Linked DNA regions of Caenorhabditis elegans. The protein of the gene in region 1 interacts with the protein of each later gene in a pairwise test. Each region holds a gene or a part of one and is shown on either strand. Other genes may lie near its edges. The genes, in order: syx-5 and vps-52.

Region 1 (15,453 bases):
AAATACGAACCAACACGCAATCCTAACGGAGTCGTTAACTTTTGCACTGCCGAGAATAACATTTGCACTCCGCTTTTAGAAGATCGGTTCAAACATCTTGAATTGTTTTTCCCAAACATCGAACATCTAGTGAGATATCCACCAGCTGGGGGATGGCCTGAAACTCGAAGAGTTCTTGTCAAATATTTCAAAGAGTTTATGGGTGCTGGAGTGACAATTGATGAGCTTGTATTGACAGCTTCAACGAGAACTGGTTATGATGTTACAAGCTATTGCTTGTTTGAACAAGATGGTAAGAGAGAATGCAATAAAATTATTGTATGATGGGTTTTTGACAGACATTTTGTTGACCAATGGACCGATTTACACTGGTACCATTTCAAATGTGCAGGAAAAAGCTCAATGTCAAGTGGTGTGTGTAGAGGTATAATATGTCATTTGAAAAAATATAGAAATATTTAGTGACAGTTAGAATGTGCTTTAATTCCTAACTTGTTAGCGTAAAACCTAAAATATGTTCTCGATTATCTTCGAATCCATTTCACTTTTTTTTTTAATTTTCAGACTGATCTTTCCAACCCACGTCTTGATGTTAAAATGTATGAAGCAGAGTTGAATCGACAAATCGCCCTTGAGAATACAGTTTCTGGTGTAATTATTGTTAATCCACACAATCCTCTGGGTGTGACGTTCCCTCCTGAACAAGTCATCAGTCTGTGTAATTGGGCTTCCTCGAAAAACTTGAGAGTTGTGATTGACGAAGTTTTTGCAAACAGTGTCTTCGATAAATTGAATTCAAAGTTCCGACCATTCCTGTCTTATCGTCATCGTCTACACCGTCCTGATAGTGTCGCATGGTTATGGAGTGTTAGCAAGGATTTTGGACTTCCAGGACTCAAGTTTGCAGTGATACATACAACGAATGAAGGACTTTGTCAAGCGGCAACAAAACTGCAAATGTACTATCCGTGCTCCCCATTCGTTCAAGATTTTGCTGTGAACTTATTGTCTGATTCAGGTAAAATAACTTCAATTTTGATTTAACATGTTTTACAAAAAACAAAAACTTGACGGGAAGTATAGTCTCTTATATTTTCAGAATGGCTACGAGAGTTCCATCGTGAAGTGAACAAACGTATTTCAATCCACTATCGCTACACTTCTGATAATTTGAAACGTTTGGAAATCCCATTTATTCCAGCTCAAGCAGGAATATTTGTTTTTGCCGACTTCTCCAAGGTAGATCATTTGAACTTACAAAAATTTGATGATGATTCACTCTGATCAAAAATCGCTTACGTTTTACTTACTATGATTTTAGGGGAAAGAAGACGAATTATATTCAATAATCATCTTAAACTTTTATAAACAAGTTTTAAAGTGATTTTGTGGTTCAAAGATTACATGAGCAGAATATAATAAATGTTAAATCAGAAACAAAAAAATAAAGTGTAACTTTATCTATTTCGGTTTCAGTGGAAAAAAATAACTTTCAAGTGATTTTTTGTTTCAAAATACAACACGGATATCATTTTAGCATCTTACTTCGTTGGATTCTGTAGGAGAACTTGCATTGTTTGAGCGTCTTGCTGAAGCAGGAGTAATGCTGACTCCGGGTGTTCATCAGAAATGTCACGTGTTTGGATGGTTCCGCATTGTGTTTGCCTGCACGAAAGAAGAGCTTGAAGAAGGATTCAGAAGACTTTACATCCATTTGGGAAGTCAACTACAACCCGTAGGAACTGTTGAATATTAATAATTAACTAGATTGCTTTACGTTTTTTTTCAAATTTTAATTGTTCACACCTACTTATTTTATGTGATGCGCCCCCCCCCCCCCCCCATATTTCTTTCTTTTATTTTTCAATTTCTTGCTTTTTTCCACTCGTTTTTTTACTTGGCTTTTACATGAATATATGGATAGATGTGCACTTTTCTTCACATTTCTCACTTTTTGGATGGCCCCAAAGTGGGCGTCCAGAATGTGCCAGGCACGAAGGACCACCCAGTGTTCGTAACAGATGGACAAAAACTGACAAGTATGTCCAGCCTTTTTTATGAACTTTTGTCGGTCCACTCGTTTTTTAAAAACACAAAAAACAAGAAAGAGCTAAAGCAAAGCTGGGAAAACGTTAAGAGCTTGCATGTGAAGCAGAGCTTTTGACTGATGTTGTTCAGGCAATTGACTTGAAAGTTCATCCCACAAAACTTTGTCATTATTAACTCACTTGTAATTTGAGTTACCGTATTTCTATTTCTATTTTGAGAGAGTACTCTTAATCCGTTCCAGTTACATCATAGATTCTTTGTCTGAAATAAAAAGTCTAGATAAACACTCACATCTGCAAAACTTTAACTTAATATTTTATAAGTAACTCTCTGTGTTACGAAAATATCGGAAAATAATGAATGTGCGACTGATACGTATTTAAGAAATAATTTCAGATTAGGAACATCAAAAACTTAAAAACATAGAGAATGATCGACCACATAGTCTGAGATTTCAAGAACATACGCGTAACACTTTTCTGAACTATTCCAGTGTTTTTATGTTTGATCGATCAAAAATTGTATGATACACCAATTTTTAGGAGTTTGGATTTATTTTAGAAAAGTTTTTTTTTTGAAAAAATGTTCTGCATTGCAAAATGTGTTGACTTGCCAAAATAATTTTTATATGTTTTTTCAAAACTTTGATTGAGAATTTTACCATGGTCAAATAACTTTGAGAGGATTTCCAATAATTATTATTACTGATTCTCTGATGCGGAATGTTATGTTGAATACCCTTTTTTGATTGATACTAGGTTCGTTTGGAAATTCAGAATAGATAACTTAACCCGGCGAGGTATCATGGGCGCCTCATCCGAGCATTTTCACAGTCCTACAGTATGCTTCAGTTCATGAGCTTCACCCTGCAGAGTGACGAGGTTTAAACTGAAAACCTTTTCTTCTTAGATAGGGTGTTTATGTGAGCATTTATTTTTCAAGGCAAACTAAAGTAATTCATAATTGCAATGTTTAATTGGTTTTCCTTAGCATTTTCAGTATAAAGCTATTCTTTGATAAACAAGCGGTACTTTGGTCAAACAAAGCAATCTCATCCAAAACACAAAATATAGAATTCTAGATAATAATGATAATGTATCTTTTAAGTATTGTTTACAACAGTAGTTTTAAATATTATTCATAGATCACATGCCCTGGCACACATTTTCATTCTCACTTTCTTCCCCCCATAAAACAGCGTCGTTCAAAAAACGAGTAAAGATCTTGCAACTTTAAAGAGAATATGTTTTCTTTACTTTCTTGTTTTTTGTGCTCTTGTTTTCTGTTCTTCGTGCCCTTTTCCACGCGACTAAATTTAATTTCCCACCCTCTCCCACGCCAATTCCAATTTTCCCCCATCTACAATCATCCAAGTTTTGTTCCATTTTTTAGAGGGTCGATCGTTTGCTCAAGAGATTACATTATTTACCTGAGCGCCCGCCAGTTAGTTTGTCTCTTCACTCACTCCATCTTTGAGTTTCACAAGAATCCAACTCGGTTTCTTCTACATACATATATATTCCCATATTTTACTAAATATTTCGTGTCTTCCCTTCTTTTTTTTCTCCACTTTTCCTCCTATCTTCATCATTTATCAACTACACTGACTCCACCCACATTCCTATCCATTTTGAGTCCTGCAAATTGTGCAAAAAACAGATGACCGCCCGACTCAGAGAATATTGAATATTCAATTGGTGCTCTTGTTAAGTGATAAGAGCGCGGCGCCAGGAAATCGGGAGACTGACACGTCTGTCTGGAGCCATCATTTTCCCACTCTTTTTCTAACTTTCTTGCATTCCCCATTTTATAATCACTCTCGAAATTTTATGTGAAATGTTTTTGAACTCCACAACTTTCTACTAAAAAGTATGTTCCAAGTTCATTTAATCCTCGGCATATTGATCCTATGAGTTACGAATTAATAAGTTTCACCCTATTACGAATTACAAACATTGATAAACTACACAATCCTCTCACTGTTTCTTATCTTTTGTGCTCTTACAGCTGCGCCTAATTATTGAAGAATTTTAGAATTATTTATCAGATTAAAATTCAAAAGTTTTAAAGAGCTCTTCCTGAGAAGATTTTCGTTCATTTGTATGAATCTGACAAAAAACCTTCTTTGAAATTTTTTAATATAATCTACCCTCTATTCTCTATTAGTTCTGCACCCCCTTGCTCCACTTTGAAAGGTCATATCTTGGTTCATTTGGAAAATATCAGTAAATAATTAATCAGAAGACAACCGAGATAGAAAGCAGTTGAGCAACGGGTGCAGTAGAGAATATACGATATAAGTTTGTACAACAAAATTAGTAGATTTTTGAAACATAATATAAAATTTGCATTGTTATTGCAACGACAAAGTACCGTGAAGATCTCCAAGAAAACCTTCAAAACCAAATTTTACGATTTGGCTTTGGTCGTTGCGTCAATTAAACACACTGGCTGTTGTTCTGACCAGGGTGACTTTGGATACTTTTATGAGATTCTCAAAACAGCCGATCGGCCGTTGACCTCCTCTCTTCTATACTTTGTTCGTTCTGCCTCATCACCTCTTTTTTCTTCCTCTTTTTTACATTTTCACATATTCCGAATTACTAATTAATTGTCCCGAATCAAGCTGTTCAAAAAATGACATTTATGGTGGAGTTCTAACATGACATTTACGAAAATAAGTGTCGCCCCCGACCGGAAAAGTAGGTGGATGCCAAAAGAAGGAGAAAAATGATTCCACAATCGGAAACAAGCTCAAACCTTTTCTTGGATTGTTCACGCATCATTGAGAATTTTATTGGGGATAAAAAATATCTGGGCGGGATATAGAGACTTTGAACAACCATGAGAAGTTGAACCTTCATAAGTTTATTTCTAACAACTTTTATACAATATTTCAAGAAACCTCCTGAAAAAGTTCACAAATCACTTCCTTTTCTAATTCGAAGTTCTGTGGACTTTGCATTTGAAGAGTCAACTTTTGTTTCGAAACCGGAAAATTGTATTCGATTACATCAGAATACAACATAAAAGAAATGTGACGTCGAATCTTAACACTCAGGTTCTAAACTCTCCATTTTGTTTGAAATTTCCGTTATTAAATTAACACTATAGACATCTTCTCAATTAGGTGTGAATTCCTAAACCAGAAGAACACCCACGTCACTTGAATCTTCAGCCCACACGCATTGCAGAAGAGTGCAACCTAATCTGGTTACTCCTCCTATATCCTCCGTCTTCTCCTCAATTTCACATTTCAACGGACAGCGTTTTTTTTGTTTTGAGATTTGCACATATTTCTCCAATTTTATCGTTATCTTAATTTTAATATAATATTTTTCAGTCGCTCATGCGGCCCGAACACTTGTCTTTACAATTATTGGCTTGGATATACTTGATTAATGGGAATCCAATTGTTCAGAAAGGGGGACTTGGTAGGTTTCTGATTTTAAATTTGTTAATTGTAACTTTAATGTTTTTTAGAAGTTCTGGATATTACTGACTCAAATGATTTGTCTGTTCGTCAAAGATTCGAAGAAGTTATACGTCTAGATTGTGCATCACAAAGACGAAAAGCATTAAAAAGAAAAACTGACGGAGATGCTAGAATTTATATTCCAACATGTTCTCCAAAAAACTCATTGTAAGTTTCTTCGTATACATATTTGTTAAGTTTACTCAATTTTCAGATTATATGATAAAGTGCAATGCTATGATGTTTCAATTTATTGTTGGTGTGTGGACGAACTGTCCGGAGAGCCAAAGTTAGGCTCATCGACAACAAGAGGAAAACCAAAATGTGAAGAAACTCCAACAACTACAGTTGCTCCAAAAAGAGTGAGAAGAAACAATCGGTGTAAGGAAAAGAAGAGAACACGATTTCTGAGGCGATTAGTATCAACTCTCAAATCAGAAATGATAATGAGTGGAATAAATGCAACAAAAGTTAGCAGAGATTCAGCAATTAGATGGAAGTTTAATCAACTCAATATAAATCATAATAATGTGCTTGAAAGAAGTGAATGGAAACCTTTTAAATCAGTTTTGTTAGAATGGAAGAATGTCAGACAGTGCTCCAGAAATCTTTTCAAAACTTGCGATCTGAATAAGGATAGAAAATTGACATTCGATGAATGGAGAAAATGCATTGTTCAAGGTGTGTTTTTGAGAAAAATCATCTGATTTCTCATTTAATTTTTTCAGAAATCAACCGAGTACCAGCCAAACGTCCAGATCAACTAAACCCATTCCTGTACATTTTAAGATCAGAATAATTTTAAGTTTTAATCCTCCCCCTCAATTTGCAATGTTCTTTAAAAATCTACCACGGGTAACCTCCTTCCATTAATCTATTAACCTATATTTGTCTTTCATTCACATATTTGTTTCTCAACAGCATAATAAGTTTGCTTAATTTCAGAGCTTGTAGTTGTCCGGTGTTGAAATATCGTATTTATTTGTAGAAATTGTATTTTCATATTTTCATTGTCAGTTCAAAAACAAAACATATGCATTTAAATTAAATAAAAGTGTTCACTTTTAAAATAAGCACGTGGTGATATTGAAATAATAAGAAAAAAATCACTATAAAAAGAACCTCAGAATTCAAAAAATCTATTTCGAACAAAATGGTTGGTGACGGTTCACTTTCTTCTGAATCAGTTATTGGTCTTCACACTTACAATAGTGCAGCCGATCTAACTAGTGGACATGTGTAAGTTTTCAAGGTTTTCAATAATATTTAAGCTTAATTCATTTTCAGTATGACACTTGAAAAAAACGAGTATCTATTTGATCTGAACACAAAAAACGCTTGCACTCGTCCACTGGATATTTTTATCAAACTTCTTTCAACTTCCTCTGTCGGAAAAGAGTTTTCACATTTCTCGTCTCTTCCATTGTCACGACTTCGCACTGTTGACGCTTTCTTTGATCACCCCGAATTGAATAAATTTGGAGAAATTCAAGTTTACGAGCAGACGCGTGTTCGAGCCGTTCATCGTCAAGGTAATTCAAAAACTTCAGAATAAAAATATGTAAAACTAGTGGGGCGTTACGTCATTACACATTTATTTACTACATTATATTATTTTAGTATCGCAATTTATGTCAAGTCGTTAGTGAAATTTTAACAAATTAACTGAATATTCCACGATATCTCTATTTTAGTTCCACGCCTTGATGTGGTGGCAGTACGTGAATTTCAATGTTTGACGTTCAAAAACAGAAAAAAAGCGTTAGGTCTTTCATGTAGGCGCCAAAACACCTGCCTGCCTCACCTTAAGGCGACCTTCGCCTGCATCGCGCACCGTCTATCAAAATAAATATGAAAATACCCCCTTATGGCTGTCACAAGGGACACTAAAAAGACGGAATGTCTAGATTCTGACTACCCGTCTAAATCCAATCTTCTACACATTTCAGGTCATAATTACCTCAACTCAAGTTGGATCGACGGATATCGTGAAACTCGAAAATTCATTGTCGCCCCGTCTCCTATGTCTGAAAGTGTTGCTCAATTTTGGCGGTGTGTTTTCGATCGTAATTCTCTTATTGTGGTGACACTGTGCGAGCTCCTGGATGAAAAGGGAAAACCATTTGTGCCTGTAAAGATTGGAGAACCATTGGTAATTGATGATATGACAATTGAGTTGGATAACATTCGAAAAGTTCGACCGGCAACTTACTCTTCTGTTCTGAAGATTTCTGAGAAAGGTGTCGAATCTCATAAAACAGTGATTCTTCTGACCTATAGTGGATGGGGAAAACTTGGTTATCCACAGAAACCATCTGATATTCTGGATTTATTGGCAGATATGAACCATATGAGAACAATTCTCAGAAAACAGGGACTTGAAAAGAAGATTTTTGACGACAGTCAACGGACACCAATGACATTGGTGTGTTTTGATGGATTCAGTAGAAGCTGCACTCTTGTTGCTTTGGATATTCTTTGTCAACGTCTGACAGCCTCTCATGAAATTGGTACTCCATTTGTTGATATTCTGGATACAATTGCTAGACTTCGAATGCTTCGTGGTGCAGCCTGCATGGTGATACGTTCTTTATAACTAGATTAAAATTAATATTTTCAGAAAGCCGAGCAGTTTGTCTTCTTATCAATGTCAGTTCTCGAATATGCCATTCGTCATCATTTGGTGAATGTGGAGGATCTCGGTAAAATCAGCTTGAATGGGTTTATCATTCGCAATAATCCTGAATCTTACTGACCCGTTTTTTCAAGTCTACAAATAAAAGATTCTTCAAATTTTTTATTCTCATTTTATTTCCTTCCGGATGACCTACATTAAAACTTGAGTCATTTTCCCAATTACCACCTTTTTGGAATGTCACTTTCAAGTGTCAAACAATGAATACGTACACATATCTTCAGATTTACTTTATATTTCTTCACATCTGTCACTGCCAAATATTTCAACAAATTCCAGTGAGTCCAGTAACTGGTTTGAATTTCAACAACTTTTTTAGAATCTGATTTATCTGAGAAACTATCTTTGTCAAGAATGTTATTATCTTTCAGAAAAATTTGTTAGACAATTTTCACAACGTTCGATGAAAGGATATTTCTGAAAGTTTATAGTCTTACAGGTTGGAATGGGTATGGGAATGGGTATGGGAATGCCTATGGTTATGTCAATGCCAATGCATAATCTTGTTGGAAACCCATTTGAACAAGGAATGGAAATTGTACGTTTTCATGTCATGATTTTCAATTCATAGTTCTCTAAAATTTAGGAATACTCTCCAATAACTCAACTTGTTTCATCAGTTGCTCATCTTGTTGAAATGCATCAAAAAAGTAAAGAAAGAGAAGAAGATCATCAAAATTCCCATGGTCCAATGTTTCCGGAATTCTCACAGCTACAGAGCCAGATGAGACGTAGGCCATCGATCTCAGAATCTGGAATTTCATTGAATGGACCACGATTTAATTTAATCCCGTACAGTCAAGACGGCCTGGGTTCATCTGGTTCATCGACAACGTCTAGAATTATTAATTCAATATCTCGTAAGAATGGATTTCTTCAACATGAGCAAAAATTCAATTTCAGCTGATACGATTCCACCTGTAATGTGGAGGATTGGTGATCTAATTGGAAAGCATGATACAAATGAAAAAGAGAACTTGTACGATATGACTAAGATCAAAGGATTCCCTATTACTAAAGTGGGTCGATTTACAGTATATTAAAGTTGTAACAATATTTCAGAGTCTTGATAATGAGAAACTATTTCGAGATGAAGATTTTGCAAATAAATCGAATAAATCTTGGACAGTCTTGGAAATTGCTAGAAAAATGTTGGGTGTTGGTAAGTTTTTCTTCTGAGTTTGCAAAATTCATTTGATGCCCTGTGTAATTTTGAATATTAAACAAAACTTTTTGTGCAAGATCGCTGTGAGACCTTTTGTGAAAATATAGCGTGTATGTACCTTTAAAATGAAGTCTCAAGTTTTTAAGAAACTTTGATAATTCCAGATGAAATACCGACTGCCAACGAAGGAAATGCAATAGCTCAGTTGATTGAAGAACTTCGAAAAAATAAAGAAAATTAGTTGAAATCATCTATTCCAGTTTAAACTTGTAAGAATACAAAATTCAATAAATTATCTATCAACTATAATCACTGTCGTTTCAAATATTCTCCATAATCAATAACTCCATCTCCATTAAAATCCAAATCATCCAAAACAGCATCAACAAGTCTCTCTGTTTCTGCTTCATCTGATACTGGAACAGGATGTCCGGAATCTAAAAAGTATAAAGATAAGTCTATAATTGATTGGTTATCCAGTACCGTGTGCATCATGAGTGTGAGTAAGAGCCTTCAAAATTTCAATTCCATCAATAAAATTGTCCTTATTCAAATCATGCATTGAGAAATAATGGAACCGTTGTTGTTCTTCTGTTAGCTTCTCAACTTCGATTTTATTTTCCAAATGTTGTTTGATATGTCTTAAAACAAAAGAAGCGTACTATTGAAAATCTTTCTCAAATTACTAATGAAATGTGTCTTGAAACTCTTTTCGAGAAAAACTAACTATAACTTCTAACTGTAAGGGAAAAATGTAAATATTAACATTTTTAAAGTAGAATTTTAAATAGTTGTCAATATTAGGAATGTCCAAAACGCTACCTATTTCTCAGCCGTGAAACTTTTTGACACCACCGGATGTGCGCCTTTAAAGAGTACAGTAACTTTTGTTGTTGTAGCGCTTTTTTTAATAGATTTTTGCTCAAATGCTTTAGTTAATTTTTTCAAAATAAAAAAATCAATTAAATCATATAAATTTTGAAAAATAGTGTACCAACAATGAAAGATCGATGAAATTAAAAAATTACAGTCCTCATTAGAGGCACACATCCGCTTGTATTTGACAAGAAGTGTCGTGTCGAGACCGAGTTATGTGCTTTTAGCGCGAAAATTGCTAAATTTCGCATATGGCATATAATTGCATCTACATTTACTTTAACCAAACTAATTTTCATACGTACACTTGCACTTACTCTTCATCGTGTACTTCTTTTTCTTCAGCAAACTTTGCTCCTTGAGCTTCTAGCACTAAAATTTAATAATTTATAAACATTAGAAAGTTATAAACAGATTTGCATACCTAATAGAAGGAATACAGTTGAGATGAATAAAAATCCACGCATTATAGAGTGGGAATATGTATAAAATCAATAGAAATAGACAGAAAACTCTTTTTCTCAAGACTGCCAAATGTCAATATTTTATTATCAGTCTCCCCCTGCTTCGCCTTTTAGTTCCAACGCAAAATTTGGTAGTGCAAAAGCAAAAGCAAACATGAATTTTATTGTTACAGGTGCTAAATACAAATTTTCATTTGTTTTTATTCGATCTCAACTAACTATAAGATAAACCAATAAATTATGCTTTTTACAAATGGGTTTCGAAAAATCATCACAACTTGAGAAATGATGGGGAAAATGCAAAATTGGAAAAATAACTAAAGTTGTAGGACTGGGAAATGGGGAGGGTGTCTGACTATTATGTACCAGTTAAAGTGTTAAAAGTGACGAGGATAGTATGATAAAATGATTTGTTACAGCAGTCGATATAACCCATCAAAAGACGTAGAATGTTAATAAAACATTGAAAACTTTGGAAACGAGGAATTGGAAATTATGGCTATTAATTAGATCGTTGTCCTAATCAGAATTCTCGATTATTGTGTGCCACCAGCTTTCTGCATTTGTTCCTGGTGAGATCTTGCTTGATCTTCTCGAAGCTTTTGTGCTTTGAGGAACTCTCCGTAGTCGATGAAGCCATCAGCATTGAAATCGTCGTCCCTGAAAATATTCAGTAAAGTATTTTTTTAAGACTTTGAATATTTTAGTGCTTTCTTATGCTAATTGCTAGCAGTAGTCTCTAGAAAATAAATTAATTAAATATATATCTCACTTTAAAATACTATCAATCATCGTCTCCAATTCAACTTCACTTGGGAGTGGTGGTGGCTGATGATTGGCATTGGCATTATTTTGTGTATGCTGTGGTCCTGGATTCTCGGCATGGAAATGCGTTATTGCCTTAATCAACTCGACTCCATCCAGTTTCCCATTTTTATCTAAATCGTGCATATTGAAATAATGGAATTGAAGTTGTTCTGGCGTCATGTTAGCAGTTGGGTCCACTTTTCCGTCCAAATGTTCTTTTATGTGGCTGAAATGTTTTAAATTAATTTTGAAAATTGTTATTAAAACTTACTGTTCATCTCTGGCCTGTTCTCCACCAAACTGCTGTTGCCCAGGCTGAGCATGTTGAGCTTGTTCCGCTTGGCCACCCTGATTTATTCAATACAATTTACAAAATTAAAGAAGCTTTAAAATAATAAAAATCACTGTATCCAGATTGTTTTTCAGTTCAATTTCTAGCGAAAATAATTTTCTTATTATTCTTTACAAACATTGTTTACCTGTTGTGGTTGCTGTTGATTAGAACCAGGAAACTGCTGTGGTTGGTGGGCAAAGGAACCAAGAATGAGGCAAGATACCACCAAAATGTTGGCTGCCATTCCTGTAATATTATAATCACTAAAATATAGACAAAACTAAGTAAGAATACAGAAAACGGAATCAAAAACGGAAGCGTGAAGTGGAAGCTGTTATTTTATTTGTGTCGATTTACGGGGAGATACGGTAATCGGGAGGCAACGTGTTCCAAATCTTACGGTAATCGCTGAAATTTCTTAAAACAATAAATCGAAACGAAAAGTTATGTGTATTTTTTTAATAAAATTAACTTGACTGAGCATTTTGGTTGAGAAATATAAAACTTAAACTGAAAATTAAACAAAAAAAAAAGAAAAACTAGTGCATTGAGGAGCGTGTTTGTTGCGCATAAAATACGCAACGCCACGCACAACCTCCGACCACACATTGATTTTCTTCTCCACGAAGTCGAGCCGGTTTAGTGGACTGTTGCGACAATGCAGCGAAATATTTGTTATTTGTTTTTCTTTTGAAATAATATTTTTACCGTGACATTTGAATATATTAATCTTTTCGACGCTTTCAGTCATTTAAACAATATTTTTCAGTTTGTTCGATGTCGGATGTCGGACTTTCACAACATTAGATCTCGTCGACGAATACCAGAAGCCAGTTCTTACTCAACAGTCGATTTTGATTACGATCCAGATCAGAAGAATCACACTTCAGCAGTTGCTCCGACTAGTTTCGCGTATAGCTCTCTCACAACCGTTTTCAACGCGTCAGCTTCACAACTTTGGAATTCTGCGCAGGTTTGTCTATCGGAACGAAGAAAGATGGCTATCTGTATATTTCTGGTTTTTATTTTTTCATGCATATATCTTTCAGGAGGCGCTTGTATCCTCCTACGACACAGCGGAAGGCACTGAAAGCATAGACGCAGATCGATCAAAGGTAGTAGAAACACTTGAATCGCTGAGTATTTTTGGAAATCCACTTGATCATATCATTATCACAATGCCATCAAGAGATCGAACTTCGGAATTCCGGGCGACAGCCAAATCATACGAAGTGAGTTTTTTCATTAAACTTCTAAAAATAAGCTTTTATTTCGAAACATTTACTTTTAAAACGTGTTATTCGGGTTTCACATCAACATTTGGACGAGACGAATATATCGATTTTTGCGAAACTCGAAATACACTTCGAACAGAAAAAAGAAACACGAATCACCTGTTAATATTTTTAAAAACATTCTAGGCGATAATATTTTTATTATTTATATAAAATTCGGGTAACATATAATTTTTCAGATGAAAGCAGCCGCAAATGGAATTAGACCTCAACCAAAGCATGAGATGCTATCTGAATCCGTGCAGTTCAATCAACTCGCAAAGCGAATCGGAAAAGAATTGAGTCAAACGTGTGCAAAAATGGAAAAACTTGCCGAATATGCTAAGAAAAAGAGCTGCTATGAAGAACGATCTCAAATTGACCATCTTTCATCAATTGTCAAGTCTGACATTACGGGTTTGAACAAACAGATCGGACAACTTCAAGAATTTTCAAAAAGACGTGCAGGAAACATGAAAAATCAAAATAGTGGACATATACAATTAGTTGTAGTTGGATTGCAGTCAAAATTAGCGAATGTCGGAAAAGATTATCAAAGCGTACTGGAAATTAGTACAGAAACAATGAAGGCTGAAAAAAATCGCCGAGATAAATTCTCGAGTGGTGCAGCAGTTCCAATGGGACTTCCTTCCTCCTCTTCCGGAGCTAATGGTATTTTATTTTCCTCGCTCATTCAATAAAAATCTGAAATTTTAGTTCGTTCAAAGCTTCTTCAAGATGATGAGCAGCATGGCTCCTCAAGCATAGCTCTGGATATGGGTGCTCTGTCAAACATGCAATCACAACAGACTATGGTAAGTTTTCAATTTGAAAAATATGAAATTTTTTTTGAAAAACTATCAATATTAAATTTCCAATGCTCCGTGTTTAGGAGAAGTACAGTGAAACTTTTTTTAAAAATTAATATTTTTTGCCAATAAAGCAAGTTTTATCGAAACTAATTTAGAACAGCAAAGAATACATTTGAAAAATTGCGATGTTACAAAAAATTTGTAAGATTTCTATGATTTTAGTTAGGAAATGTTAATATTTTCTTTGGAATTCGTTTTTTTCTTTAAAAATTTAAAAATTATATTTCTAATAGTATTAACCAAAAATTATGACTTGATAGAATATTGTAGACATTTTTGAGCGTTTATTGAAAACATAAAAATCGTGAAAACTGTAAATTGCTCAAAAATCAAACAAAAAAATAGATAGAATATAGTTAGTTTTTTTAAACACTTTCCAAGAAACAAATATTTTCAGCAACAAAGAGATTCATCATTGGAATATGCGCAAGCCCGTAGCAACACCATGGCGACAATTGAAGGATCCATCTCCGAACTTGGCCAAATTTTCTCTCAACTGGCTTCACTCGTCAGTGAGCAAGGAGAGATGATAACAAGAATCGATTCAAATGTTGAAGATACAGCTCTTAATATTGATATGGCACATTCAGAGCTTGTGAGATATCTTCAAAATATTAGCAAAAATCGATGGTTAATGATTCAAGTTTTTGGAGTTCTCATGGTTTTCTTTGTTGTATTTGTTCTTTTCCTCACCTAAACATTTCCATTTTTCATTGGTTCTTTTTTTTTCCGTGATTGCTGACTTGTTTGAATGTGTCTATTGTAAAAAAAGTGGAAAAGTAAATTCAAATTGCTTCTCCTATCACCTATAATCATTATTTTCCTCTACTATTATTTCCATGAATTAGCTTTTACTTCTCTGTCTTGACCCGGAAATTGATGGTAGAACTCCGCCTGTGATTAAAATCTTCTCTATTTTTAGCATAAAGCTTTTTAAATTTTAATCAAAACTATTCATATTATTTCTTATATTCATGGTATTTTGAACCAACTCTTACTTCTTATTATTATTATTATTGTAATTTTTTGGTTCATAATTATTTTCAGATCCCTCGGAATTCAGATGAGGGTATCAGCTGGACTAATGATTGGTGGCTCGTGTGTGGCGACTGCGGCCACCATACTCAACGCGTTCCTGATCAACAAACAGTTCTATCCATCAATCGTATATCTCTCAAAAAGCAATGCAAGTATGGCAGTGATATATGTTCAAGGAATTGTTCTTGTATATCTCATGTTCCAATTGCTCAAGTCTATTTTATTCGGAGATTTGAGAGCTGCAGAGGCTGAGGTAATTTTCAATATTAAATCAGTACTGAACATAAATAAATTTCAGCATCTGTCAGAACGTACATGGCATGCAGTTCTGGAAACATGTCTCGCATTCACTGTATTCCGTGATGATTTCTCAGCAATATTCGTTATGCAATTTATTGGTCTTC
Region 2 (16,031 bases), on another chromosome or scaffold:
ATCTTTCTCTCTTCAGATTCTGTCTCGCGATTCGGTTACCGTTTCTGTTGACGCAGTTGTCTACTTCAAGGTGTTTGACCCAATCACTTCGGTAAACTAAACAGCTGGTACGGTTCAATCTAATTTGGAATTTTTAGGTCGTCGGAGTTGGCAATGCGACCGACTCTACCAAACTTTTGGCTCAAACCACCCTCCGTACAATTCTCGGTACCCATACCCTTTCAGAAATTCTATCCGACCGTGAGAAAATCTCCGCCGACATGAAAATCTCGCTCGATGAAGCTACAGAGCCATGGGGAATCAAGGTTGAACGTGTCGAGCTTCGCGATGTCCGTCTTCCATCTCAAATGCAACGTGCTATGGCTGCTGAAGCCGAGGCTACTCGTGATGCTGGAGCAAAGGTGAGCCGACATGATGAGCATAGCAAAATGCGGGGGACCAATAATTATTAATTTCGATTGCAATTAATTTCAGATTATCGCTGCCGAAGGAGAATTAAGAGCATCTGCCGCTCTTGCTGAAGCCGCCACCATCATTTCAAAAAGCGAGGGAGCCATGCAGCTTCGATATCTGCACACACTCAATGCTATCAGGTAATGGAAGCGCACTATCAACTTTTAACTAACAAAATAAAATTTCAGTTCCGAGAAAACCAGCACAATCATCTTCCCGTTCCCAATGGAGATTCTCGGAGGAATCAGCAAGGTTGGTTCAGGAGGCACATCTCAGAACTTTCCAGTTCAAGAAATGATGAATGCCGCCCTTCAATCCATTCAACGTCAGGATACAGTTCCAGCCACCGCATCTTCCTCAGGAAGCCGACTCTGATTCCAAGCAACGCAAAATGAGCTACAGTTTCGTCAAAAAACAAAACAAGGATCAACTCGAAGCATATTGATAATCTCTTTCCTGTTTGAAGTATTTTTTTTTAACTATTAAACTGTATTATTCAACTGTATAACACTTAATATTTATACTCGATTTCCACCTCATTCACTTCCAAATTGCACATATCGGTTGTCAAGGCATATCTTTGAGAGGTTGTCTGAAAGACTTCCGATTTTGCTCCAAATTTTTTCAGTCATTTTTCTCATCATAATAATAATATATATATGATTCTCCACGTTCCATTGTATTTTTCAAGTGTATTTTTCCAAGAAAATGAAGGAAGCCATATAGTTTAGAAATTTGTCTAATTTTTTGTAAAACGGGAAATATTTGAATCGAAGGATTCAAAAAGTTTTGAGAAATTTTTTATTTCGAGCCTAATGCGCTGAAAACTAGGTTTTCACCAATTATTATGAAAGTCTTTGATCAGAAAAATTCATATTTTCACTTATTTTTTCACTAAACAAAAATCCAAATTTCAATATTGTTGGGGTTTGAAGATTTAATAGTGTTTTAGATTTCTCGTAGCGAATTGTCAAAAATATACCAAATAGATAAATTAAATTCTCTATAAAAATTCAAAAATCCACACATTCTCATTTTTCCAATTGTTCTGCATAACCTCCTTGGCGAGCATTTTCCTCGCCTTCCTCGCACACAAGCACACCATTATTCTAAACACCGCGCGGGGTGTAAAAAGCGGAGCATCGTTTAACGACGTGTTACCAATTGTTTTTTCTTTGGTTTATCGCTATTTTTTATTTATTAACGTTAGTTATTCATCAAAATTTTTATTGAAACAATTTCAGCACAAATAATGCCTCGAACACGTGTCAACTTGCAAAAATCCGAGGCAAATGACCGTAGTTTCACAATATCGTCGCTAGAATTTTGTTTATCGCAATTGCGAAAAGCAGATCCGAATTTGGTGAAAAAAGCAATTGCTTCTGGTGACGGACTAACCGAGTCGAAAAGTATGTCTCTAAATGTCAACATTTGAAAAATCAATAATTCAGACGACGTCAGCACGCGGCTATCGGAGGCACATCGTTATTCTGTTCAACAGTGTCTTGATAACTCTGAGCAGTTGGCTCAACTCCATAATCAACTTGTGCATTGTGATAATGTTTTTGAAGTAAGTATATTGTAAAAATTGCCAATATATAAATCAGTCGACTATTTAATTAAACTTTTTAGCGCTTGCAAGCAACATTGTACAGTTTTCAAGACAATCTAGGATCAATTGGGCAGGATATGAAAAATTTGCAGCTACAGTCGCATCATATTCATCAAGTAAATTAATTTTCCAATTTCAACGTACTATAATCTTCTCAGGAACTGGAAAACCGGCAAAAAGTTAGAGTCGAGCTGAGCCAATTTGTAGACGATATTGCTGTTTCTCAAACGATGATGAAAACTATCAACGACACTGATGCAAATGACAGGGGTTTTTTGGAAGCGCTCCACGAGTTACACCACAAAATAACCTTAATTTTGCAAAGGGGAAATGGAGATGCGGTAGCGGTAAACGACACTATGCCGATTTTGGAAGGACTAAAGCTTAAGGTTGGGTGTTTTTTTTTTTACAAAAGTTTACATTTCAAAAATGTTTTTTTTCAGGCGGTTGTAAAAGTGAGGGAATGGTTGCTTCAGAAAATGTTCCAATTCCGTAAACCTCTGTCCAACTACCAAGTTTTTCAACACCAGCTTCTCAAATGCCGATTTTTCTACGAATTCCTGTTGCACCATGACTTGATCTCTGCCAAGGAACTTCAAGACGAGTACATTGACACCATCAGCAAGATGTTCTTCACGTATTTCAAAGCATACGCCACACGCCTGTTCAAACTTGCGGTAGGTTGAGACACATTTTTCAAGTATATTCACCAGAGTAATTATTTAAGATGAAAGACGTGGCCACCAAAGAAGACGCTTTGGGAAGTATTGATTTTGCAAAACCCGCTGGATTAGGCGCAATTTTCTCGTCGAAACAACACGTTGTTCGGAATAAGGCAACCGTTTTTTCGATTGGGCAACGACATCAAATTCTCTCTGACGACTTTTTAGGAGCCTTGATTGTTCCCCACGCAGCTACGCAGAACCATCAATCGGTATACCTTACAATAGAACTGGTAGGGACCAAATTAAATTATATTTTCAGTATCAATTTGAAGCACTATTTCGTTCTATTCAACTGGCATTTGTCGATCACTACAGCCATGAGTACCTCTTTATTACCGACTTTTTCCTTGTCAGCAATGATGAAGCCATTGAACTGCATAACAAGGTATGTTACGAGGACCTGGAAAGACCTAATATCTATTACGTAGTAATGTTACATTTACAATAGTTGTTTGCCTTTTCACTACCGGAAAAAAGCTTATAATTGCTTTCAGGCTATGGCTCGAGCAATGTCAGTTGTGCTCAAAAGCTGCGAGGAGCAAATCGCCCTTAGTTGGGACGCCATCAGTCTTCATCTGTGCATTTGTCTATGTGACAAGTTTACCGAAGTGCTCGCCGAGAGAGAGGTACCAGAAGTTAGCGATTATTGGAATACTGTCACAAGCTTCCTTTGGACCCGCCTCAATTTGGTCATGTCTCAACACTACGAAAGTGTCAAATCTGTTGATTTGAAGAAGTTGATGCATAGCGGTTCACTTGATGCAAGACCGCATTTCGTAAGTTTTTGATTGTTTTTTATAATCAAAAAAATTCAGATGTTACAGATAGTCCGACGGTACGCCGAACTGACAAGTGCACATTTGATGATAGCAAAAGCAAGTGGAAAGGAAATGGGTGCAAAGATGGAAGCTGTCTTGGAGAACAGTGAAGACTCTATTGAACAACTATTGACTCGAATGTCAGCTATGCAGCAAACTCAGAAAAATAAGCACGTCTTTCTGATTAACAATTACGATCTTATTCTTTCGATTATCGATAACGAGGAAAGCAAGCATACAAAGATTTATGCAATTGTCCATGAGCTTGAACAAAAAAGTATTGATGATTTTGTTGAAGAGATGCTAGAGCCACATATTGGGTACATGATTAAATTTGTCAACGAGTGTGAATCTCTGATTGTTCAAGGTCATACACAACTCTTAGTTCGATATAATGGCAAGTTGTCATATATAATTTTCTATTCTCTAATATTTTAATTTCAGACAAAGTTGGAACGGTGGTAGCAAACTTCAATGCAAAGTGGAGACCTGCAGTGGACAGTATTAATTCAGAATGCATACAACTTTTCACTAACTTCAGCCTGGGAACCACCATTTTACAGGTTAAAATTTATTTCCTAGAGCCGAATTTCAGTTTTAACTAGATGATTTCAGACAATCTTCACAAAGTACGTTCAGTATATCAATAGATTCACAAAGATTCTGTCCCATGACGTATTTGCTAAAAATCCCGTGTGTTCCCAGTTAGTCAACGTTCATCAAGTGATGCTCGAAATCAAACGGTTCAAACCAGCATATTAAGAAAAATATTGCCAATGTTATTTTATTTTCCCGTGTAGACTTTGTAAATTAAATAATTTATTGATTCCCACTTACTTGAGTATTTTTTTATATATATTTTTACCCACTGGCAGCTTTATGCATGCAAAAAATGTTGAATAAAATGTTTATATATTTATTTTATTTAAATAACCATTACATAGTATTTGACAAAAATCACATAATATCGAGAACACAGATTTGGACCTGACTGGAAGGTGGGAATTGAGACAAAAATACATTAATTGAAGTGATTAGGCAAATGCAATTCCTTCGTATTTGTATGGACCATGAAGAAGATATTCGTCAAGAATAACATTACCATGAATGTCGAAAACACTTGCATAACTTGCTACTGGTTTTCCATCCTGGAATACAATTTTATAAACCGAGCATTGAGATTAACGGATTTTGTTTTTAAAATTGTGTAGATAAAACCTGTTACTTACCTTTTCCTCCGACTTGATGGCAACGATGAGCTGGTGATGAGTGTTTGGCACAAATTGGAAAGCAGCAAACCCTCTGGATTTGTTATTCTCCGATCCTACTCGCACAACCTCAAAATCAGTCAACTCTTCATTTCCAATCACAAGAACGTTTGTTCCGCGGTTCTCGTCCTCCGCCTCAGAATACTTCTCATTTGACATTCTACGTGGAAGGAAGAACCATTTTCTGTGAATTGCAGACCATTGAACAGCTTCGTGAATCATGTATCCGGGATATTCGATCCCAGCAGCTCTACGAACGCGGATATATACATCCTTCCAGTTTTCGTGATGAACGGCTCCGTGAGCAGAGACATGCTTCACCCACATTGGGTGATCGTTCACATAAACTCCGTCAGTGGTCGTCCATTCTTTTCCCAATCCTCCAACAATCAATTCGGTATCCTTAACAGTGATCCATTCTCCTTTAAATCCCTTCACGACGTTTCCTGGCCCATCGTTCAGTAATACCCAGGGAAGTGCCTTCAAAACAATATTATATTTTTTAAAAATCAATCCACTACACAAATATCATTGTTTAACCACTCATCACTCACCTTCTTGTCACTAATTTGATAAATAAGACCTGTTCTATCGTCAATTGAGTACAGTTTACCATTGAAGACGGCAAGGTCAGACAACTCCATAGCGCGTCCACCGGCGGCAATATTTCTAAAATGATGATTTTAGTAATGAAGTCAAAACAAAAAAATCTATAAAAACACATTTTGTAAACTTACGTGTCAACATAGTACTCCGAGTCTTTGTCAAAATGAATATCGGCATGCTTGTGGTCTGCAGAAACCTGAAATATAAATTTGAAAATTTCCTATAGCGATTCGAAAAAAGCAAGTTGCATTTTATAAAAATCATATTGGTCAAGCTGAGCATAATGCATTAGTTTCTTGCCGTCCTTCTCACCTTCAAAAATCCACGAGAGACCAAACTTTTCCACTTCTTCCCGTCTTTGCTGTCATGATCCAAATCGGTGATCAACATTATTGAGTATTCTTTTGCTCCATCATCAAACTTCTTTACCGAATACAAGTTAGCATGGTTGATGTGCTGTAAATGGATATGTGCGCAATCAGCTGAAAATGTAAAGAGTTACCTCTTCCTGTTCGCTAGATTTGTTGAATTGGGTACCCGAATAAAAGGCAATAGCGGTCACAAACCCGAAAAGAAGGAAGTTGAAAAAGTTTGAGTTACTTTCTTGTGTCATACCTAAAAATTATTTTTGTGAGTCTTAATTATAAGCATTAATTGAAAGTAAGAGATTTGAGAAAATATAAGTAGAATAAAAAAATAAAAAATGGTGTAGTTTTCCGAGAGTACTTCACGGCCGCGTGGCCTAGTTTTTTCAATGGGGACTCGATATTAATAACGAACACAAGTGCGTGTCCCAAATTGCATTTGCTTTATTGAGTGAGATATCGTGGCTGTGAAGTGGCAAAATATTTCGAGAACCGTTAATTAAACAATTTTATACATTTTTAAATAATGAATTCAAAATGATGCAAAATAAATTTAAAAAAACGTACAACTTCTAGAACAACGAACAATTGAGCTGTCTCGCTATCATCATCTTATCATTTTTGCTATCAAAAAATCGGTTGTGGGTTGTCGTAACACATCACAGAAGAAAGATTGATTGTGAGAGAGCCGGACAACATTTGTGCTAGCGGTCAATGTCTTTCCCGCTTAACATGGTCCCAATTGTACGATTGACCAGGAATCGATATTTCAGGGAAAGAAGAAAATACCAACAAGACATGACGAGAACAGTATTTATAGAGTGTGTCTGAGTGCGTTGGAAACACACGATTTTTGTGCTTTGTAGTCAATTGTAGTTTATGTTGAACACAAAACGAGTTTCTGCTGCTGACCGTCTTTATAACGAGCGTCTTAAAAATGTGAGGAAAAGACAAAATGACAAGAAATGAGAAAACGATAACACTAAAGAAAAACGTTGATTTAGTTGAAAGAAAGAAATATGAGTTATATGAAAGAACCATATCGAATATACATTTTGAAGGACAAATATTGTTAAAGCTAGCCGATGTTGAAATATATATATATTTTACAAGATCTGGATAGATTTAAATACTAAATTAGAAAAATTTTAAATACTCAGGGGTTGCTCAGAATCGCGGAGTCACGTATCCGCTTGTTCTTGGGAATAAATAGTAGCTTCTGGAATCAGTGTACCCAACTCCTTCCCTTCCCATCATATAACGAGATGCTCGAGGATTGAAGTACTTCTCTCCACGATGACTGTACATGTGATATGCAAGACCACGACTGTCAGAGTAGCTTTTCGAACAATATTCACAAATGTATGGTTTTGAACGAACGTCGTTGTACACTCGGAGTGGATGCTTCGGCTCGTATCCTTCAGTAACGAAAGCTGGCTGTGGAAGATCTTGCTCGGAGACCGGTAGGACTCGCTTCTTGCTTACTTTTATTGTGGTTGTCTGAAGTATTTCAAATTATATTGGTAATCTTCATTCTTCTCACAAATGTATTCCTTGTTAAAGTAAAAAAACGGTTTCGGCTTTTTTTCCGTGTGATTTTTAACAAAACCAAACGAACGAAATTTGAAATACTACTTCTCAAAAATTACTTAAAAACTTGTTTATGGGGGTTCAAAATTTTGAAAAGGCAATACCCAAATTTCAGTCAAAAACTCGAGTTGTTTCAATTTTTCCCAGTCACAAAGACTTAGGTAGCAAATTGTGGTAATTTTTGGTCCCTAATTGCTTGAAACGTATCTTCATTAACAAAACAACGTAAGGTAAACGACCAAAACATGTTTTTAAATTTGGAACTTTCTTCGGTTTCATAACTTCTGTTTCATAACGTTTTCTTTTTTTTGCACTGAAATTCCATCTGTTTAACAGTTGTGATGCAAGAAGTAAGTGCAGTCGTATCAAATTGCACCCTCTCACAGGCTATCAGCAATTTTTTTTTGTTGAGAAAAATATTTTTTTTACGTCAGAAAGCCAAGACACACAAAGTTTTTGTTCACAATTTTCTCACATCAAGGACTATGAAAACCAAATACAAAATTGAAAAGCGAATGGCTGGATGAAAAGGTTTTGATAGATTTTGAGTCGAAAGAACTGAAGAATAAAAAATCAAACATTAAAACAGCCATAGCTAGATTCTGTTGATTTTTTTCCGAGAAGTTCGTAATTCAGATTTTGTTTCAAAAAGCTCTACTGATTAGTAAAATCTAGTAAATTTATTATTTCTCAGATTTCTCAATTAGACAAACCTCTGGAGCACCTATCAATTCGAGTGGATCGTCCGTGTGCTTGTGATATAACATTTCCGTGTAAGAAAAGAACGTCCTTCCGCATTCACACTTGTACCCGTCAATTTCTGAGTGCTGAGCGGCATGATATTCCAGTTGGCAAGCAAATTCAAATGAGTCTCCGCATTTTCCACAGACATATGGCTGAAACAAAGAGTTTCTATAAGTAATCCAGCGAATGAAAACCTGTGAAACGTCATGTATTCTCTCGTGTGCACGGAGAGTGTTCATGAAGTTGAATGTGAGTCCGCAGAAACGACACTTGTAGAATACAAATCCGTTGTCATCTTTTTGCACACTAGTTCCGTCCTGACGCACTTCCTGCAATAATCACTTTTCATCGACTAAAAGAGTCTCTTTTTCATTTAACGCCTTCTTCATTCCCTCCCTTCTTCAGTTTTTCCTTCATCTTATATTTTTCTTCCTTTTATTCCCATTTCCCTCATTCTTTCACATTCAAGCTGTCAATGCTCACATCTATATTCCGCACATTTGGTTCGTGTGCTGAAAGTGAGCGCATCAACTTCAACAACAACAGCAAAATGTTTATTCACAAACAAGAGTAAGTCAACAATACCCATGTGAATTAGCTTGGGAAAGGAGAAGAATGGAAATGGATAGGTTGAAGGAAAAAAGCATAAGGAGCAGCAAGAAATTATATTCCAAGTTAGTATTTGAAAATGATAAGAGAAAAATAAAATCACAAACAACAAAAATCATAATTTGTTTTTTTTTCTTCTTAGCATCCTGCTGAGCTTTCTCTTCCAACAAATGTACAGGACATGGTTACTTCGACAATGGGCTAAATTTAAATTAAATTAGAACTGAGTTTGTCTTTGTGTATTCTGGCAAATAAGTTTTTACTAGTATGCTAATTATAAAATTAGAAAATAAAACCTTTTCTAAACTATCTAAAATTCAGCAAAAAATTAACAATTTCTCTCAAACAACTCAAAAAATATAGTTTCATTTTCTCCGGAAATTTTGCCTGTACAAACCTATAGACTACATTCCTAATCAATGTTTTTTTAATTAAAAATTATTCAAAGCACGAACTATTCAACAAAAAATGCACAAAAACACACACTTCATAAAAACAATAAAACAAACCTGTTGATCACTGCCATCCAAAGCACCGCCACTCGATTTTGTTGGAGTTTGAGCACTTGAACTTCCGACCTACAATAATTTACTTGATGCTTTTAAAATCAAATTAGGATGGCGCTGTTTTAAAGTATTTAAGCGTTTTCAGACACTATTCAGATAATTCAACATTTTTTCACTTGTATCCAAGGGTTGAAAAATGTCAGTATGAATCCAATCTTAAAAACATTTAAAAAAATTTGCCTTAAAACCTATCAAACATTTCAATCTCTGAAATTCTTTTTTTTAAATTTTACCAAACTCACATATGCTTCAACTGTTGGGGCAACAACTTTCATGATCTCTTTGGGCTTTTCCTTATTTCCATTTTCTGACGATTCTCCATTGATGCCGAAGGTTTCTAGACCATGAACCATCTGGAAGGTATTTTTTTAATCATTTCGCAATACAGACACCCCCGCGTTTTTCTCCGGTTTTTCCGTCATCTCTCGGTTTCTCTAACTCACTTCATTGTTCTTCACGGACATCTTGGCAAGATCACAGGCATTCATCAACTCTTCGAAGTCATCTCTTTCCTTTCTTGCCTAAAAAATTCAAATTTAAGTAAAGCTCACAGTGATCAAGAACAATACCTCTTTGAAGATGTCGTCATCCATTGTTGTATCTGGATATCAGCGGTTAGTCGTCGGAATGGGGGTGAAAATTGTCAGAGGGTAGAATGCTCGGTGTGGCTAGCTGGGGTGCTCAACACACAGTGTAAACTCAAGAGACTCGTCGCGATCGAAAAATGCGAGAAATCGCCTCTGCAATCTCTGGATCTGATGTGCTCTTTTGAAATGCTCCCGCTCTCTCATTTCCTTTCCTCGTTGGATGTTTTGCGGGACACTTCTGTGTCTGCAGTCTCCCTCAATCTTGCTCAACTGTCTTAAAGAAGAAAGAGATCTTGACGACACAAGTAAAAAAAGCGTCTAGATTGCAGTGCTCGACATAACTTCAAAGCGGAATCATGTTTCTGAAATGAATGGCACAGATGCTAGTGTTTGTGGGTGACATACATTTTGTGTAGTACGTTGAACACGTGCAAATGATTTGGAGATGTGGGTACAAACAAAAGAAAGAGTACTTTTTTTTTGAAATAATAATCGAAAAGGATCAACGAAGTTTATATTTTAGAAATTATTCAATATGAATTGTAAAAATATTAAATTACATACTGTAAAACTATTATTTGAAACTATGCAGGATTATGAAGCTATTGTTTTAAATGTGAAGCATCGGTCAGGGTGATTTTTTGTAATCACTCCTTTATACAGTGATAAATAATCTAAAATAATTTTGCTTTCAAAAAGGTAGTTATCATTCAGTTTTCACAAATCACAATCTTGGAACACGGCAAAAATAGTTTTTTCTACATACAAGTTTCATATTCTAACTATGATTTGATCATTTGTATATACATATATTGTAGACATTTAAAAAAATGCAGAATTGCTCTAATATTTTTCATAGGTTCAACTTATTCTAGTTGTGGCAATTTACCACAACTTTGAATGAAAATTCTCAAGAATCTAAACGGTTATGTGGGACTTTTATGACTTTTAATTGGAATAAACATTTTACTGGAGCTGCACCACCTTCTGGATTGATCGGATCTTTCTTTCATGCATCACAAGCGGGCTAAAAGTGCACCAATGTTGAAATTTTACACAACAAAAATGCATTTAATTGTTAAATTTTTAACAAGTATAAAGTAACCAGACCCTTTTTCATTAAAAAACAGTTTTCCGTATTTCCTCTATTAGTCTTGCAGCCTCTATTAGTCTTGCAGTCTCTAATAGTCTTGCATCCCTCTTTTTTCAAGACCAGTAGTACTTTGCGGAAACGTCAGCAAATTTGATATTTTTGAGAAAATAACCTAGAAAATGATCAAATAATTTATGAAATATTGCAAAAGTATATATTTTTATCGTTCAGCAAGCTATCGAGTTAAGTTTTCAACAAAAAATAGGTCATTTTTTCAAAGATGGGGCATTCGAAAACTAGTCTTGCAGCCTCTAATAGTCTTGCAACCCTACAGACCAATGGAAAATTAGTCTTGCATGCAAGACTAATAGAAGAAATACGGTATATGAAACAGTCTCACTACTCGGGCTAAATATAAAGTTTTAAAAGAGAACAAGCGACTCACTACGAAATTTGTTTTTTTTTTCCAGCACATTTTGAGTCAATACGTTTATACCACGAACCAATAGCCCTACTTTATAAAATCCTCTCTTGTCAGAAAAGCCGGACCTCCTAGATTTCCATACTTACTGTGTACTTGTGGCCTCACAAAAACTTCTTACATAAGTATCTTCCCTTATGGAACAGTAAAACTACATTATTACCGGTTAAACGTTCCCGCCCCGCCTTCGCAGCGTTTATTAGCTTTTTACCCCTTGATAAATTTCAAGGGGTAAAAAGCTAATAAACGAATAAATAAAAATTTAAAAAAACTGGTACATTTTAAAACGTTTTTATAGGATCAAATTATTGGTTCTTTTTTTAATACTACATTCGTTTTTAGTGTCAAATATTAATTTCATTTTGTGGGCAGAGGAACATTTTGAATATGAATTTAGAACAACGCACCATGTCTATATTTCCGGTTTCTTCGCGTTTATTATCAGAGAATTACCTGAAATCCATCACACTCGATATAAAATGCCTTAATTCATAACTTTTAAATTCAAATGACAAATTCTATCTATTTTTATTACCAAGTAACAGTCAACATATTTTGTCTAGTCCGTCAATGAAAACATTCCAACTTTCCGTCTCAAGTTGATGAATAACTATGAAAATGATTTTTTTAAAATCACCTTTATCGTTTTCCAATCCGAAAATTAAACTTTCAATCCGAATTCCATCTTTTCCAATAAACGTGCATTACCGCAGTGGTGGCCGCTATCAAATGCTATGAAATCAGAGTAGTTCCAGAGTCCAGAGTCTCATTTTTCATTCTTTTCTCTTCTTCTCATAAACAACTAATTTCTCTCCCAGCAAACCACCCTAACATTTTCTGTAATGGTTCCTCTTGACTTTTGCTCTTAATGCACTACACCGACTCGGCACGTCATATTTTCATGGTAGAGAGAAACATGAAAAAATGAACACGAAGAATGACCTTTTTGTATAGTGATTCTTTGAGTTGTATCTTTATCAGTTGGCCTCAATTCTTTCGTGTCAAAGAGAAGAAAGTGTGGACAGATTGAGGGGAAAATGAGATAAGAGAACGTTTGGCAAGCAATAATGGATGGGTCAATGAAACCTCTAAGAGTACAGATCTATTGCGTCAATTATGGCATGAATCAAATCACCTCACTAACTTTCGTTTTTTACCTTTGTACCGTTGGGTTTGGAGTTGTAATGGGTGTTCAAGAATCCTAACACTAGGAGCAAAACTTCTATCAGAAAAGTTGTGTAATAAAAATTTATCTTGCCGTTTTTTTTCAATTAAACTTTTGAGCAGTTGGGGTCAACCAACGGAATCTTATATATTTGAAGAAACTTTGGTGGCTCTGCAATAAAATAATTTACAAGGTGAAGTATGTGTTGTTATGATTAATAGTGTTTTCCAAACGTTATCAATGTATTTATCATTGGTATATCACATCCATTCTTTGAAATCTATGATCACTTAAAATAGTTTTTCAAAAATTTTCTTTGACGCGTATTGTTGATAACAACAATGACAGTACCACTTTGGCAAACAAGACTAATGAGATAAATACTATATACCTATGTAAATAAATAAAGTTTATCCAAAATTATCGTTCATAACAAGTGCTTTTTAAGATGTGGAATTTAAGTTTAGTTTTAATCTGACAATTTGTGTTTTTTTATAAGTTTTTAGAAATGCAAATGAAACTGCTATCATAATTTTGACTTATCAATTAAAAAAACTTTGACGTAACAATTAAAAGGCACACGTTGTTTTTGGGTCTCGCCACGATCTTATTCATAATGACCGCGTCAGGTGCCAAATTCTACAGACTTGTTAAAAGTGAAGTAGCACCACTAGGGAAGTTGTTAAAACTACTTATAAGGTGTCAGTTTAATCCAATATCAAAGTAAAATTTTCAAAAAGTTGTTGAAAAGTTGTTATTTTGTTTTAAAATGATCTTTACTAATTTCTTGCCACTGTTTTGGTAGTCTTCGATCAAACAATTTTACATTGGTATTTTATAGTCTACTAAGTAAGTAAGTAAGTAAGTACTTATGTTTCAACATTAATTTCAAATACAAATATTAATATTCCCCCATTGTAGGGATTCGAACATGCGGCAGTCTATAGTTTTCTCAAAAAAAAGCAATATCAGTAACTCTCAATAAACCTTTTGTATATTTTTTCGAAAGGTTTCACTATGAAATTTTGTAATTTTTGCACAATTGAAGTGTTTTTTTAAGAATGTCCCTACTGGTGATACTCCACTGTTAACTGGATGTAGAAAAATGTTTATAAAACTTCCAATATCTAAAAGGCACCAGAAAGCCAAAATTTATATTTTCTGGCAAGAATAGACACAAACATTTCAATTCCTTAGACCTTCTCATAATTTCTTTAATGACTCATCTGTGACTTTCTTTTCTAATCGCGCATTCAAATCTTCTTCTTCATCTTTACCACCTCTCTCTCTCTCTCTCTCTCTCTTTGGCCCATCATTTCCCGTGGCCTCCATTTTTTTGTGCGTGGTGTCATTCGACCACACAAACAAACACAACGAATGTAGTAGTATAACCTGGTGGCTCATTGCCCAGATGGCTGTTCGCCGCGTGTTGCGCTCTGTTCGGCTGCCCTTCTGCTTGGTTTTTGTCGTCTTCTCAAGTTGTTTTGTTTTTTTTTCTTCTTTTCTCTGTGTCTCTCTGCTTCTTATCCTTACAGCGTCTTAATTATACGCTTTTTCGGAAGATGCTAAAAAACAAAAAATATAAATGCTAACATTTTTTCTTTAGTTGCCTGGGTCCCATCACTAGTTCTGTTTGCCCATGTGTCACATATTTTTTTTGCCATTTTCTCTTGTGTGTTGCGAAACTCGAAACAAACAACAAAGAATTAATGCATTAGCTGAGACATTTTTTTCCATTTATTGTTGTAGTTTTAGAGTTAAAATTATGCGTATAATGTTCACGTCAGATTTTAGATTTTCAAAGAGTTTGTCAACTCAAAAAAAAGTTTCAAAACTTAAAAAAAGCCTTTGTTAAGAAAAACTATTTTTCTGTGAAAACATCGCTTAAAAAGGGAACTCAAAAAAGCAAAAAAGCAATGTGCCACGTTCATCTTTTATGTTTCTTTTTCCGCTCCGTCCAGCGTCTTTTTTCCCCCCATTCGCCTTCTCCATCGACCCTTTCTAACACCGCTTCTTCCCTTATTTTCACTAGTTCTCTAATTCGAAAATTTTTGCACGCACTCTCCATTGGCACGTTTTGCGTGGCTTCAACTCACAGAATTTTAAATTTGTGACATCACTTCTTTAAAAATTTGCCCACGTGGCGTTGCACACTTTGTCAGGCTCGGCTTAGGTCGATTGTGAAACTTTGGAAGTAGAAAATGGTGCGATTTCTCTGAATCGCACGATAACCGAAGACTTTCGCCCTTGAGGCGTTGCGCTTATCAATTTTTTTTACGCCTTTTGATAAGTAGAACACACGTACTTCGCAATTTCGTGTGCTTCTCCAAATGAGAAAATAAAAAACCATGTCTACTCCCCCTTGTTTTCTAGTCTACACAAACTTTTGTGTTTCTATTTTGTTATTCGCTTCAAAATTAAATTCCTAACAAGTTTCATATTTAACCGTTGATCGTTCAGAAAGATGCCACAACGAAAGAGAACAATGGACTCACCACAAGAAGAAGATGTGGAGGTGAAGAAGAAGGCGACGGAAGTGGAGTACGTTGTCAGGTCGTTGGCATCAGATGAGCCAGCTCCATTTTCCGACGAGGCGTTGGCGATTACGACAAGAGAAGCGGTGGATTATTCAAAGAAAATAACTTTGGCAATGGCAGAAGCTAATGAGGGTGAGAATTTTTAATTTGAAAATATTATATTGGAATATACTTGAAATTTCTAATAGTAAAAAGGAAAATTAGCCATTTGCGAAAATTTGCGAGTTATAACTAGAAAATACCGTCTACGTTCTCGAAACATTTGAATATTAGAAAAAAAAGAGTGTGTGCACTTAAAGAGTACAGAAGTTGCCACGACTCTCTATTACTCAGTTTTTCTTCGTTTTTTCTCTTTATTTGCTTCAAAAATATCTGTAGCTTTCTGTAACTTACAGCTGGCCGACCTGTGCGAATTTATGCTGATGGAATTTATGATCTGTTCCATCATGGGCATGCGAATCAACTTCGCCAAGTGAAGAAAATGTTCCCAAATGTCTACCTTATTGTTGGAGGTTTGATTTTTTAATCTTTTTCAATTATGATTTTCATTTCAAATTTCAGTTTGTGGTGATCGCGACACTCACAAGTACAAAGGAAGAACAGTCACTTCAGAAGAAGAACGTTACGATGGTGTTCGGCACTGTCGGTACGTTGATGAAGTCTACAGAGAGGCTCCATGGTTTTGTACTGTCGAGTTTTTGAAAAACCTTAAAGTTGATTTCATTGCTCATGACGCTATTCCATATGTTGCACCAGGAGAGGAGGACTTGTATGAGAAGTTTCGTAGAGAAGGAATGTTCTTGGAAACGGAA

Evidence for each region.
Region 2: the proteins of syx-5 (region 1) and vps-52 interact in a two-hybrid assay, tested with the Caenorhabditis elegans proteins (one study listed by BioGRID).

The regions. Positions count from the first base shown.
Region 1 is NC_003283.11:11,752,270-11,767,722, forward strand, and holds syx-5 (Putative syntaxin-5), read left to right. Parts: upstream 1-12,634; 5' UTR 12,635-12,649; coding exon 12,650-12,838; intron 12,839-12,914; coding exon 12,915-13,097; intron 13,098-13,339; coding exon 13,340-13,811; intron 13,812-13,856; coding exon 13,857-13,954; intron 13,955-14,408; coding exon 14,409-14,708; 3' UTR 14,709-14,953; downstream 14,954-15,453. Other genes in the region: T04F3.1 (Aminotransferase class I/classII large domain-containing protein), read left to right, coding at 1-292, 339-424, 565-1,018, 1,100-1,239, 1,538-1,756; smoc-1 (Thyroglobulin type-1 domain-containing protein), read left to right, coding at 5,399-5,483, 5,533-5,692, 5,739-6,205, 6,253-6,323; T04F3.3 (Tyrosine-protein phosphatase domain-containing protein), read left to right, coding at 6,678-6,763, 6,812-7,056, 7,474-8,102, 8,145-8,279; T04F3.5 (uncharacterized protein), read left to right, coding at 8,420-8,497, 8,659-8,757, 8,806-9,079, 9,123-9,238, 9,282-9,381, 9,549-9,625; T04F3.4 (EF-hand domain-containing protein), read right to left, coding at 9,694-9,821, 9,868-10,025, 10,578-10,632, 10,685-10,727; F55A11.1 (EF-hand domain-containing protein), read right to left, coding at 11,261-11,384, 11,497-11,757, 11,803-11,879, 12,011-12,109; sel-11 (E3 ubiquitin-protein ligase hrd-1), read left to right, coding at 15,075-15,302, 15,348-15,453. UniProt on the Caenorhabditis elegans protein: Potentially involved in docking of synaptic vesicles at presynaptic active zones.
Region 2 is NC_003284.9:7,563,626-7,579,656, forward strand, and holds vps-52 (Vacuolar protein sorting-associated protein 52 homolog), read left to right. Parts: upstream 1-1,697; 5' UTR 1,698-1,705; coding exon 1,706-1,862; intron 1,863-1,904; coding exon 1,905-2,023; intron 2,024-2,085; coding exon 2,086-2,181; intron 2,182-2,223; coding exon 2,224-2,454; intron 2,455-2,508; coding exon 2,509-2,742; intron 2,743-2,792; coding exon 2,793-2,999; intron 3,000-3,049; coding exon 3,050-3,175; intron 3,176-3,284; coding exon 3,285-3,566; intron 3,567-3,614; coding exon 3,615-4,005; intron 4,006-4,052; coding exon 4,053-4,171; intron 4,172-4,223; coding exon 4,224-4,370; 3' UTR 4,371-4,520; downstream 4,521-16,031. Other genes in the region: sto-1 (Stomatin-1), read left to right, coding at 17-91, 138-401, 475-593, 642-828; Apyrase apy-1, read right to left, coding at 4,643-4,756, 4,838-5,356, 5,431-5,545, 5,614-5,678, 5,795-5,938, 5,985-6,095; Zinc finger protein unc-98, read right to left, coding at 7,015-7,347, 8,151-8,333, 8,376-8,510, 9,300-9,368, 9,599-9,709, 9,800-9,877, 9,926-9,949; pcyt-1 (Putative choline-phosphate cytidylyltransferase), read left to right, coding at 8,732-8,751, 15,143-15,351, 15,615-15,731, 15,781-16,031. UniProt on the Caenorhabditis elegans protein: Acts as a component of the GARP complex that is involved in retrograde transport from early and late endosomes to the trans-Golgi network (TGN). The GARP complex facilitates tethering as well as SNARE complex assembly at the Golgi.